Linked DNA regions of Coturnix japonica. The protein of the gene in region 3 binds, or shares a complex with, the protein of the main gene of each other region. Links are inferred from orthologs where the notes say so. Each region holds a gene or a part of one and is shown on either strand. Other genes may lie near its edges. The genes, in order: CDH5, PRKCZ and PARD3.

Region 1 (4,292 bases), on a different chromosome or scaffold from region 3:
CATGTTGTTAGATATGAGATTAAATTAATATCTTTGGCATCATTTGCTGGGATTTTCAAAATCACACTTTGCTAATTAGGTAATCAGTGTTACCCTGTGCTGCAGCATCATTATCAGTAAAAAGATTTATTTACTGTGAAATTTTGCTCTCTTTACAGTTGTGCATGACCTGCAGAATGTTGTGATGTGTAAGAGATGACTAAATAGGCTGCCTTCAAAGCTGCTATTTAATAGCTGAGCTGTGGTTTGTACAGTTTTAGGGATTTATATAAAACTTTTTGAATCAGCTATTTATTTCTCTTCTGTGCATTTACTTTGGCTTTATTTTATCTTATTCCTAGAAAAAAATGAGTAAGATACAGTTGTTTTGCTTTATTTTATCCGTATATCCCAAATATTTTACAGCTGGAACTGTCAGGCACTGAATTTGATGCTGCTGTGCTCCATCTTTTGTTCATAAAGTTACAAAACATGGTAACCAAAGGAAAACCATTTGGCTAAAGTGAGCTGGTACAGTCTGTACTTCAGGAAAAACAGATGGTAGTGTTTCAGCTGCCATTTCCTCTCATTGCTGTGGTCCTGTGGGATCTCATGGATTTTTGCTGTGATGAGGTTAGCAGGTGAAACTGAGGACAGCACTGCCTGCTTGAGCTGCCATTCGTTTCACTGCAACTAATAATTTTATAGACCTGCAGAAAACATTTATAGCTCAAATGTCAAGTCTTGATTAAAGCATACTTTAAAAACCCTCTTGGATCTGTGGCTTTGTTCATCACAGTATTTCAGGGTGCCCTTTATTGGCAGCACATACAGACACTTTGGAAGCAGGGTCCTGCTGCACTCTGACTCTTACTAATAATTCAAACCTTTTTTTTTTTTTTTTTAATTTAAGCAAGGACTGTAAGTGTTCCTCCAAGTTAGCAGGGGAATGGCTTATTCAAATACTTAAACTTCTTGTTATGCTCTTAAATTTTCTTACAGCGAATGATATTTCTTCCACCAGCATTATTCATTTTATGTATTGAGTTATTTCAGAAAATAACTTGTTCTGCAGGGTACTGTAGACATTTAACTGAGAGATGCTGGTGTTCAGACTGATTTATAAGACACCTGATACGTACAGTGTAGTTTCTTCTTGCAGACTGGGAGTAATTATTAAAGAAAAATCAAGTGAAGATGCAGGTAATACTGTACTGATTGGAAATTTGCATTTTGCAGGTTATTTTAGTAAGTAATCAAACAAGTCTGATGATAAATAGTGTCCATTCAATGAAAATACATTTGATGGAATATTCTAATGAACATTTGTTGTTTTATTTTATTTTATTTTATTTTATTTTATTTTATTTTATTTTATTTTATTTTATTTTATTTTATTTTATTTTATTTTATTTTTTTTCTGGTATTTCCCTTTTACTTGGCTTAATTCTTGCTCTGAAATTACCTATTCGTGCTTATGTGAGGTTAGGTTAATTAATTACAAATCTTGTTCTATGCTTGTATGTTAAGTCAAACTTAAACCACTTTTCTACATGAAGACTTTGATAAATATGCAGACATCTGTAGCTAAACTGAGGTGTTAATCAGATTAAGGTATTCTTAGAGAGCTTTTGTTTTGTGGCATTTGTTTCCAGGCAAGACAGAAGTAATGATGTAAAATATCCTAAGAGAGGAATTTGCTTGGAAGTCACTATTATACACCAGGGAAGAAATAAGCCCTTCTTGATCCCCTGTAATAACTCTTCCCATGGTTTTTTTTTTTGTTTTTTTTGTTTTTTTTTTAAATTTAATTTTATTTTTTTTTAATTTTATTTTTTTTTAATTTTATATTCAGATAATTTGCATACCTGATTGTTATAAAAAGCTGGAAACTAAATGATTATTGATTGTTGAGCTGGAAACTTAATGATTATTTTTGTTTACAGTATCATGGTCGGAATCTGAACAGTGTAAATGAAAATGAAAAATCTCTTTTGAAATTGAGAGTTTCATCAGGGTAGAAAAAAATAAGAAAATGACTGATAAGTGAATAATACAAGACAGGTTATATTCTGTTACACAGTACTGGCAACTCCCCTCCAGGGGGAGGTCTGTATTACCACAAGTATTGTTATAAGCCTTTCCCTGTCCCCTCCCTAGGCAGCTCTGTGTGAAAATTCTGCTGAATTTGCCAACTCTTCAAAATTAGATGTTGTTCAGGTGCAAAAATTTTACTTTGATTCAATATCTGGACACTTGCTATTCTTAATGAAGCCACATTAGATTTAATGAGAGCAGGTTGACTCAACAAAACAACTTTTTTTTTGTCTAACAAAACAACTCTGCCTTACAGAGCCCAGTTTTACTGTTACTTTCTCATTTATACAATGTGTAAGACCAAATGTGAATTTCTGAATACAGTAGGCAGTAAGAAATAGAAAAGTAACCACCAAATGTAAGGAAGATAAATCATCTTTGCAGTGCCTGTAGATTAATGCATGCTATGCGTGCTTTGCAGAAGGAGCATGTTTGGTAAGCAGACAAAACTTGATTAGAAGAAAGTAGCCCTAGCAGTACTTACTGCTGCATTTCAGGGACTGCAAATGGCTGTGCTAACATGAATGGATAAAACCTTCTCAGATCTGTGAAAAGCACTGCTGCTAGATGAAAAGCTGTATCCCTTTCAAAAGGTACCTTTGAAGCACAGAGGACTTAAATTTCTTTGCCATCTCCTGTCATGGACTGAGGTCAGCACTAACAGCAGACTTGGATTTTTTTCTCCCAATTTTTTTGATCTCCTAATTAGACAACATTGCTCTAACCTGCTCTGACAAACCCGGAGAGACAAGGCAGCAAAGTAATGACACAGATAGAATTGTTACCTGCACTGCATGCTCTGAGTGGCTTCTAAATTGCAAAAAAGCAGTCCTCCTTTGCTCCAGTGAGTTTACAGGGTGAGAATAGTTAAGGACACATAGTGAGTTCAGTGGGAATGGGAACCACATCTTCAACCTTCAGTGACACATTGGGAGGTTGTGCAACATTTAACTCGGAGAGAGCATTTCTTGTTACTCTTCTTTGTGTAAATTATTCCTCTGCGCTTCTCTTGTTTCTGATTAAAGCTGTCTTGTCACATACTCTCAACAATGTACAATAATTCATTCTAAAGTGGGTCTTTCCTGAGAACATTGTGCTGCTTTTTGGTTTCCAGCTTATTGAGCTGATTTAAATGTGCCTGGTGCCTGGCTGCCTAGTATTATGGTGTTGATTGTCCTTATGTCGGCTTTATACACCTGAGAAGTGGCTTCCACTGATGACTAAACAGCCGGGAGCACAAATGCCTACCTGAAAACTGATTATAAAATGACTTTTTATATGCATGATAGTACCTTCAAGTAAATAGCCACTTTGATGACTAAACAATCTGGACTGCAAATGCCTGCCTGAAAGCTGATTATTAAATGGCATTTTATACTTGTGATAGTAGCTTTGAATGAACAGTCGCTTCAGCAGTATTTTAACCAAATGTGCAACTGCAAAAAAATCCCACATCACTCTGTATTGAGTGAGCACTGTATTCTGTATTCTCTGTATTCTTAGCACTGGAGCTCCGCAGCGGAGCTGAGGAGTTTGTTCTGTGTCTGATTTTGGCCCACAGTTTGTTACCTCATGTTTTTTTCTGAAGAAAAAAAAGCATTTTTTTTCTTTCTGTATGTTCTTTCTGATTTCAGCTCTACATTTCTGGTGAGTCTGGGGAAAATAATGATTTTTTCCATCTCTTCAGCATACCAAACAATTCTCTCTTAGGTGGTAGAAAATACAACTGCATCTGATGGTTGGATGGAGTCCTTGGGCAGGTCAGACACCTCTTCCATAGATGAAAAAATGTTTATTTGTTGTTATTTATAGTCCCTTTAAACAATAATAACCGTGAATATGGTGTGTATGTTGAAGATTCTTTTCTTTTGATTAGATAGCCCATGGTCAGCAGCGAGCAAAGGACGCCAGACTGATAGCAGGCAGCAAGACAGGGCTCCTGGTCTTTCTGTTGTTTCTGACACAGAACTAGGTAAAAATGAGGGAGGCAAGCACTGATATTGGCCTTTAAAAAAATACATATATATTATTTAAGAAACAAAGCTACCTCCACACCAGTGTGTGAATAGCTGTGAACTAAGGATGGTGAAAGCAGTAATGAAACCTACACTAATGCCCTCCCAGAGCTTCCTGACTGCTTTGCTTGCATTTCAGTAAGTGACCTGCTGACTTGGGGGTTTAAGAGCTGTGGGAAGTACAGAGGAAGGCTGTGAACT
Region 2 (3,704 bases), on a different chromosome or scaffold from region 3:
AGGACAATAGGCAGGATCAGCTCGGACATTAAGAGCAAATATTTAATGGAAGACTGGTTCCCATCGTCTCTCCCTTTCACATCTCTGCCTCATGTATCCAGGCACGGGTGGTACTGGCTCCCTTGGGAGGCTGTAGCTCGCAGCTGAGGCACAGACTAAAACATGGCATGGATGTCAAGGAGCTGATGTCACAAAAACAAGTATTTCTCTGATAAAACCAGCGATGCCGTTCGGGAAGTCTGACAAATCAATAGGAATTGTTCAGCTAAACGCGCTTTGTTCTACAACGTGCTGCAGCAGCAAGGGGAATAAATCAGATCAAAATCTGTCGGTATAAATAAGCTGAAACTACAATAATTAGCAAAACTGCCAATCAGAAACCACGCGTGCATCAGGACGGCCCTCGCTTACGAGCACAGACAAGAAATAGATAAACATTTCAGAAACAGCCCTGTTTAATGTCAGTTCCCAAACGAAAGCTCATTTATACTCCACGAGTATTTTTAAATACAGCAGACTGGCAGCCAAGTCCCCCATTTTTAATCAGGGAACACCAGGACCAACCAAGGACTGAGGCTCAGGCAGCAGCTGCCAGGAACGCCCCTGAGCTGCATCCAGAGCCTGGTAAGGGCTGCAGGCACTGCAGAAGCTCTGCCATTCCCAGCCAGGGATGCACTGCCTCACCCAAGGCAGAAGGTGCTGCTCCTACAGCAGCTGTACATCCATGGGAGGAGCTAAATCAAGGAGGGGTGAATAACACAGGAGAAAAAGAGTCTGTACAAATCTGACTCTAAAGAATCCGCAGTTATTCCACGTTGCAGACAGCAGCGTAACAAAATAAGGAGCTTCTTCAAGCACAGAAAGAACTTCTTACACCACGTGACTGAAATTACAATGGCATTTGCATTCCTTATTTCATTAATGGATTACATGTGTTTATTTCAGGCCTTACTGGCTGGCACAGCCTCAAAGCCACATCAGTTTCACAAAGTTTCATTACTAGATTTCAACACAACACAAAATACTCGGATATTTCTGCACTCTTACTCCAAAGGATGAAACATCACTTTGAAACATGCTGTACATTTCTAAGCAAAGGACGCTATTTGAGCCCTGTTAACTTCCCAGTTCCCATTAAACACAGAGCAAAGAGCTGAGCACAAAGTCATATTTTTAATTCAGGTCTTTTACCTAGGTGTATTTCTAGAGCATAAGAAGTTAAAGTGCTACTGAGATAATCTACTTCCCTTGCATGGCCTTTAAACAAACAATATCATGTGAATCAGTAGCATTTCCATATAGCCCAAGAGCAAAGCAGATCTTTGCTGTACATGTGCAAGTAATAAGCAGTAATGCTGAATGCATTAGCATACTCTAAATTAGCACCGGTGCGGCTTAACAGCTCTGGTGTAAAAACAGTCTGAAAATATTTACTGCCAGGCCACAATAACAGATTTGCACGTAGGTCCCGTGGACACAAAGAAGCAACAGGCTCCAAGTTCACCCATTAACTGAGAAATCAGACCACAAATCACTAAGAACATCCAACAGAACAGCCATTTTAAACAAAGAACAGCTCAACCCTACAAATGGAGCACACAGGTCACCTGTACCATGCTAATTGATGCTCCTCGAGCTCATCTGATGGCCCACAGTCATTAAAAACACCTACAAATCAGTATCAAAACCACTTTTCTTCTAAATATCCACATCTCTAATGAGAACATTAAATCACAACAAACTTTTATTTGCAGTGAAATCTCTCCTGTTAGCTCACTCTTTTTGATGATAGCATAGTGGAGGCTTATCCACCTTTTAAAGGAGTTCAATGACCAAATAAGCCTTTTGTAAAATAAATTGAAAAAATAGTGCATTTCACTCTTACATACATCAATTTGTTACCCCAAAAGTTAAGAAATAAAAGAAATGCAAAAGTAGGGACCACATTAAATCCTGACCTCTTTTCCTCCCAGCTACTGGAAACCAGTACTAATCCTTAGAAACATTACAGTATCAGTAGAGAAACTTCATAGTAATATGTTAAATACTGAACATATTAATTGTAGAAAACCACAGAACAAATACACATATATAAAACCAGCTTATAAAAGCTTTCAATGTATTTTTTTGTACAGTTGAAGAAATAGAAGCTGGAATCTGGTAGCATTGTGGTACTCACTGTCTTCTCCTGGGCAAGGCATGCCAGGTCTCTCTGGAATGCTTGGGAAAACTGGAAATAAAACATGAAGCCTTTAAGTGAGAAGACTCTCAGCAGCTCTATTCACCTGATTCTTGAATACAGTTACTCAAAACCAAAACTTTCTGCAATCACAACTACTGCCAGCACTGCCTGCATTCACAGATCTGGGTTCAGAACTTGAAGCCCACACCATGGTGCCAGCTGTGAACTCCACAGCCAACAGAACCCTTCAGCCTGATGGTACCAGAGCACAGGGCACCCCAGGCATAGAAGGATGCTATCTGACAGGCAGAAGTTGTTCTAATCTGAAGCTGTTATGTTTTCCAAATACACACAAGGTCTCAAACTGTATAATACTTGCCATGAATAATCAGCCCTTCCTCTCTGTTTTGACAATACAGTCGGAAGGCTTCTTCCAATTCCATCTGAGATGAGATGGTACATGGGTCACCTGAGGAGCAAAACAAGACATATGGATTTATAACTGAAATACTGAGTAGGCTACTTCATTGAGCATCAGCCCATGGACTGTTTTCTGTCAGTCACTTGAAATGTATCAGGCACTTTGATCAGATACAGAATGTAAGAACAAGTTACATAAAGGTGCACACAGATTTGAGTCTCTTTTGTTAGATTCAGAGAAGCAATCTATGACTGAATTGCAGCAAATAAACACAGGTGAATGTTATGGATACACACTTACAACCTTTTCTGTTGTTTGTTTTCTGCACCCACACACTTCATCAGTGCAGAACAAGCTTTTAAATGCACTCAAAGGCAACAGCAACATGTTAGCCTCCTTTGTATCCCAAAACAGCCTAATAAGTAACTCAACCAACAAGTAAACTAAATGGAGACACCCACCCTCAACAAAACCCAACCTCCTGTGCTACCTGAATCTCCCTTTCATCAGCCATCATGCAGTTCAAAACACATGCAGTGTTCTGTGGGCATTTATCAAGTTACTTTTCATTAGACTAATACATACAGCAATGAAACAACAAACTGAAATCTGTATAGCTGTCTACATGTTTGTCAGCCTTCAGATGAAGTTGAGTGCTAGTGCAATTGTATAATCACAAGGCAGCTGTTAATAACCTACTAGCCAAGAGATCTGCCCATAACAAGTTACAGCTGCATCACACCTGAGAGTCATAAGCAGATATCTGAGTTGTTAAGAAAAGCAGACAGGTAGCAAGGGCACACAATGCCAAGCACTTCCATCCCGCTCCTACTCACAGCAACCAGAAGGCTCTATCTAACTTAAGGCTGTAGAGAAATGCCACATTTTGCAGCAAGAAGACATAATGAAAACCATCTCACATCATGATGACATCTCAGAGCCTACAGGAAGGGTAAAGAAAAGGGAAATTTCTCAACTATTTTTTGAAGAAACACACTGATAAATCCTTTACATGCAGGGATAACTTGGAACAAGACTTGCCAACATCAGCCTTTCCTGCAGAAAGAAAGTAGGCAGCAGAGACTTGCCCAACAAATGATT
Region 3 (3,989 bases):
TCTGGCCACACCAAGTGCTCAGTGAACTGTGCAGCTCCACAGTCTTAAATGAAATCCATGGAAAAATGTGAGAGGTATTTGCCAAGCATTTTGATGGCTCTGGGGAGTAAACTGCTCAGCGATCTCATTAATGCTCATGTACATTGGTCATAGAGTTGCTTGAGTTGGAAGGGACCCTTAAAGGCCATCTGGTCCAACCCCCTACAGTGAACAGGGATATGTACAACTCCATCAGGTGCTCAGAGTCCCACTGAGCTTCTCTAGGGATGGGGCATCCACCACCAATCTGGGCACCCTGTGCCAGTGCCTCACCACCTTTACTGTATAAAAACCCTTATTTATATCCAATCTAAATCTCCCCCCTTTTAGCTTGAAGTCATTTCTCCTTATCCTGTCCCAATAGACCCTGCTAAAGAGGGTGTTCCCTTCTTTCTTACAGCATCCCTGTAGTTACTGAAAGACCTCTATTAGGTCTCCCTGGAGACTTTTCCAGGCTAAACAGCCCCAGGTCGGTTAGAATCAGCCTGATGACACATTGGTTTTCTCCTGTGTATCTATGCCAGTTCTGTCATGCTAAAAGAAACACGAAGGGCCATGAAGACCACCTGGCTCTCCACAAAAGTCAGGTAGAAAAGTGGAAAGATACTGTTTCCATGCTTTCTGCAGTTTAGCGCCTTAGTTTCATCCTTCAGATTAGTGGCGGAAGAGCAGCAGGCAATGCTCTGAGAGGAACAGCCGGCTGCGCCCACTCCTCTCAGCGGACCAACTGGTGTCGGGGGGAACAGCTCCTGCAGGGTTAGCGGTGCCGCCAGGGCTCGGGCCGGCCACCCCACCTCCACCGGGTGCCAGCGCTGCTCCTCGGCTGCCCGGTGCGCCCCGCGGCGCCGTCCGGCTGCACCCGCCCCGCTGCAATGCCCCGTTCCTCCGGAGCGGGGAGGCAGCGCCGCGCCCCGCCCGCCGCCGCTGCGCGCCGGGGCAGGCGCCGAGCAGGTGGCCGCAGGCAGCGGGCAGCTCCGCGGCATGTGAGCGGCCACGGCCTGCCGAGCTCCCCCAGCCAGGCAGAGAGCGGCCCTCGTCCTGCCGTACCCCTACCCCGGTCCCCTGCTCGTACCCCTGCAGCGGGGCGCACGCAGCGACAGTCCGGCGGCGGCGGCGGCCGGGGGCTGAGCGCCGCGCCCCGCCGGGGGGCGGCCGTGGCGGAGGGCGGAGAGGCGGCGGAGGAGGAGGAAGAGGAGGAAGAGGAGGAAGGCTGCGCGGGGCCGGAGGGATTCGGGATCCCCCCGGCCACGCAGGATGAAAGTCACCGTGTGCTTCGGGAGGACGCGGGTGGTCGTACCCTGCGGGGACGGCAACATGAAAGTTTTTAACCTCATCCAGCAAGCGGTGACCCGGTACAAGAAGGCAATCGCCAAGGTGAGGGGCGCGGGGAGCGGCGCCCGCGATCAATATGGCGCTTCCCGGAGCGGGGAGGGAAGCGAAGGGGGGAAAGTCCGGGCTGCCCCGCTCGGGGCGGCGGCCGCGGGGCCTCGGTCCGGACGGCGGCGGCCCCAAGCAACCAACCCAGCGGAGCTGCGCTCGGAGCGGCCGCGGGAAACACGAAGGGGGGGGCGGCGGCCCCTCGACCGGCCTCCCGGCGCCGGCCTCTCTGCGGCGGCCCCTCGGCGGCGGGCGGAGAGCGCGGCTCCCCGCGGGCGCCTGGCGGGCCTCGGCCCTTTGTTCGTTAGTGCCCAGCAGCGGGGCAGCCGCCGCCGGGAGCGCCGTTGCCGCGGGGCGAGGCGGGCTGTTCGGCCCGGCCCGGCCGGGGAGGGGCGCGGGGGCCGGTGTTGCCCCGGGCGGGTGGCGGAGCCGAGGCGAGAGCCGCTGGAAATCCAGCCGCAGGCTTCCCGGCCATCCAGGCCCGGTGGGGAGGCGGTGCGGGGGGAGTCCGCCAAAGGGACGCCCCCGGGCCGAACCCCCGGTCCCACTCCGGCCGAGGCTCCGCGGGGCCCCGTGCGGCCTCTGCGAGGCTCCGGTTGTACGCGGGAGCCCCGAGAGCTGGAGGCGGCCGCGGGGTGCGGGAGCCCCGAGCTCGGCCTGCGGTGGGGCCGAGCCCGAACGCTGTCCGTGCCGGCCTCCTAAAGCCCCATGTTGAAATCTCGGCTGTGGTTGTGCGGCGGTTACACGCTCGGTTTCCCTGCCACAGATTTGTTGGAACTGCTCTTTTGCGTCTCTCCGCTCTTTTTCTTGTACTTTCTTCTTGTTGCTGCAAAGTTTTTAACCAGCCGTTGACTGGGACTATACCAAAGTCTCTCTCTCGAAGCTAAATTGCCATCCCTTCTCCTTTCCTCTTCTCGATTCGTTGAAGCGCTGTGTGCAGCTTTTCTGAGCCGCTCAGTTGGTCCTCACTCCCCCAGATCTGGGAGTTTTATGTTGGCAAACGCCGACCTGAAAGCTCTGAAGCTGCAGCTCGGCTGGGAGAGCTCTGTGGGTAGAAGCGGTGGGTGGGATCCCGGGAGATGTCTGAGATCGGTGTTCTCAGAGGGAGCTCTGGGTGCCGCATGGTGGGGGGACACTGGGGCTTCCATCTCCTCCCTGCTCTGTTCCTGAGGGTCCTGATTTGGAAGAATAAAAGCAGGAAACGCTCGCTGCACTTTTATTCTCCTGCAGCAGTGGCGATTCTGGCTAGGAAAAGAGTAAGGGGCTGCCTGGCATGGGGCTGCACGGTCACTGGTTGCATGCTGCAGGCGCTGTGTGTGCACACATGCTGTGGGTACAGCATAGTGGCCCTAAGTATATCCTGTGGGAGCACCGAGGGCTTCATTGGGCCGTTTGTGTGAGAAGCATTTGCAGAATTCGTTCTTCAGTGCTCCAGCATTGGCAAATATCAAGTATTGTGATGCCTGAGATTTGCAGATAGTCACAGCCTGGCTCCCCCAGCTCCCTGCCCTGCTTTACGTGGCGCGGTGCTGCAGGTATTAGCAGTTATACGGCGGTTACACAGAGTGCCACGGGTATGGGCTGGAGTAGCCGTAATTACTGAGATTGTTTCTATTATATGGAAATAATGTGGTTGAAAACTTAGCAGCAGCATCCACAGGCTCCTCTGTGGGTGCTTTTTGCAGCCAGTGTCACACTTTGTGTTTAACCTGACCTCAGCAAAGCTTTTCCTCAGTGCTACCTGGGATGGATCCCAGAGACTCCCATATGTGCATGGGTAACATTGTAAATGTATGATTCCAGGGGCAGGGCTTCATGGGTTACTGTCTCCTTCCAGCAGTTACATGGTTGCTTCCAGTGCTGGTGTAGTGTTAGTGTAGCACTAGTGTAGCCAGGGAGCAACCCTCCCATCTGGAGGGAGATGGGGAGGAGACAAAGTGATTTCTGCACTGAGAAGTGAAGGTGTGTGTGTGATGAAGGGCCCTCGCAGCTGGCCCCACACTGACACGGAGTTTTCCTGAACCACTGCTGTGGAAAATGCCTTTGTGGTGGAACAGTATTCAGAATAGTTTAATGAAATGTATGGTTTTCATGCTGACTGCAAAGCACCATTCCTCATCCTGCCCAAGGTCTGGTAGCTCAGTGTTGCCGTGCTGCTGGGAGAGGGTCGGAGCTGCTGCTGGCCTCAGCCAGAGCTACCTGAACTCTGTTACTGAGGCCACGTGCTGGAAGTGAGGAGAGTATATATTCAGGTAATGGAGATGGTAGTGAGGTTCTCCTCTTTATGAAACATTTTAGCTCATGGCTGACACACCTACTTGCTGCAGCCTCTTGTGGAATCTGCTATCTGTGGTTGGGGTTTGTACACCTCAAAGAAGTTCAGCGTGGATTAACACAGCTGTTGGTACTAAATCTTTATGTGTGGAATGACTTCCTAACATGGTGGGCTGCGTGTGGAGTGCTTTGTGTCCAGGAAATCTCTGTGATCCCTTGCCTTTGTTCCAAAGGGAGCTCTGTATCTGAAACGTGATCCATTTCTCCCCAAGTTTTGTTTGCAGAGAAAGATGAAGTGA

The links.
Region 1: the proteins of PARD3 (region 3) and CDH5 are in contact, whole or in part, in an NMR structure (PDB 2KOH), measured with the Mus musculus proteins. The link is inferred for Coturnix japonica from reciprocal best matches to the Homo sapiens genes PARD3 and CDH5. Residues at the interface, in NP_296369.2 of Mus musculus: Ala599, Gly600, Leu601, Gly602, Val603, Ser604, Val605, Lys606, Gly607, Arg609, Lys611, Lys622, Ile625, Asn655, Gln656, Met659, Arg663, Met666; in NP_033998.2 of Mus musculus: Tyr774, Gly775, Asp777, Gln779, Glu780, Glu781, Leu782, Ile783, Ile784.
Region 2: PARD3 (region 3) and PRKCZ share a complex: the UniProt entries of both Homo sapiens proteins name them as parts of the par polarity complex. The link is inferred for Coturnix japonica from reciprocal best matches to the Homo sapiens genes PARD3 and PRKCZ.

The regions. Positions count from the first base shown.
Region 1 is NC_029526.1:10,029,460-10,033,751, forward strand, and holds the start of CDH5 (cadherin-5), read right to left. Parts: upstream 3,000-4,292; 5' UTR 2,985-2,999; coding exon 2,862-2,984; intron 1-2,861. UniProt on the Homo sapiens protein: Cadherins are calcium-dependent cell adhesion proteins. They preferentially interact with themselves in a homophilic manner in connecting cells; cadherins may thus contribute to the sorting of heterogeneous cell types.
Region 2 is NC_029536.1:1,552,856-1,556,559, forward strand, and holds part of PRKCZ (protein kinase C zeta type), read right to left. Parts: intron 2,652-3,704; coding exon 2,562-2,651; intron 2,231-2,561; coding exon 2,180-2,230; intron 1-2,179. UniProt on the Homo sapiens protein: Calcium- and diacylglycerol-independent serine/threonine-protein kinase that functions in phosphatidylinositol 3-kinase (PI3K) pathway and mitogen-activated protein (MAP) kinase cascade, and is involved in NF-kappa-B activation, mitogenic signaling, cell proliferation, cell polarity, inflammatory response and maintenance of long-term potentiation (LTP).
Region 3 is NC_029517.1:11,840,900-11,844,888, forward strand, and holds the start of PARD3 (partitioning defective 3 homolog), read left to right. Parts: upstream 1-1,189; 5' UTR 1,190-1,293; coding exon 1,294-1,413; intron 1,414-3,989. UniProt on the Homo sapiens protein: Adapter protein involved in asymmetrical cell division and cell polarization processes. Seems to play a central role in the formation of epithelial tight junctions. Targets the phosphatase PTEN to cell junctions.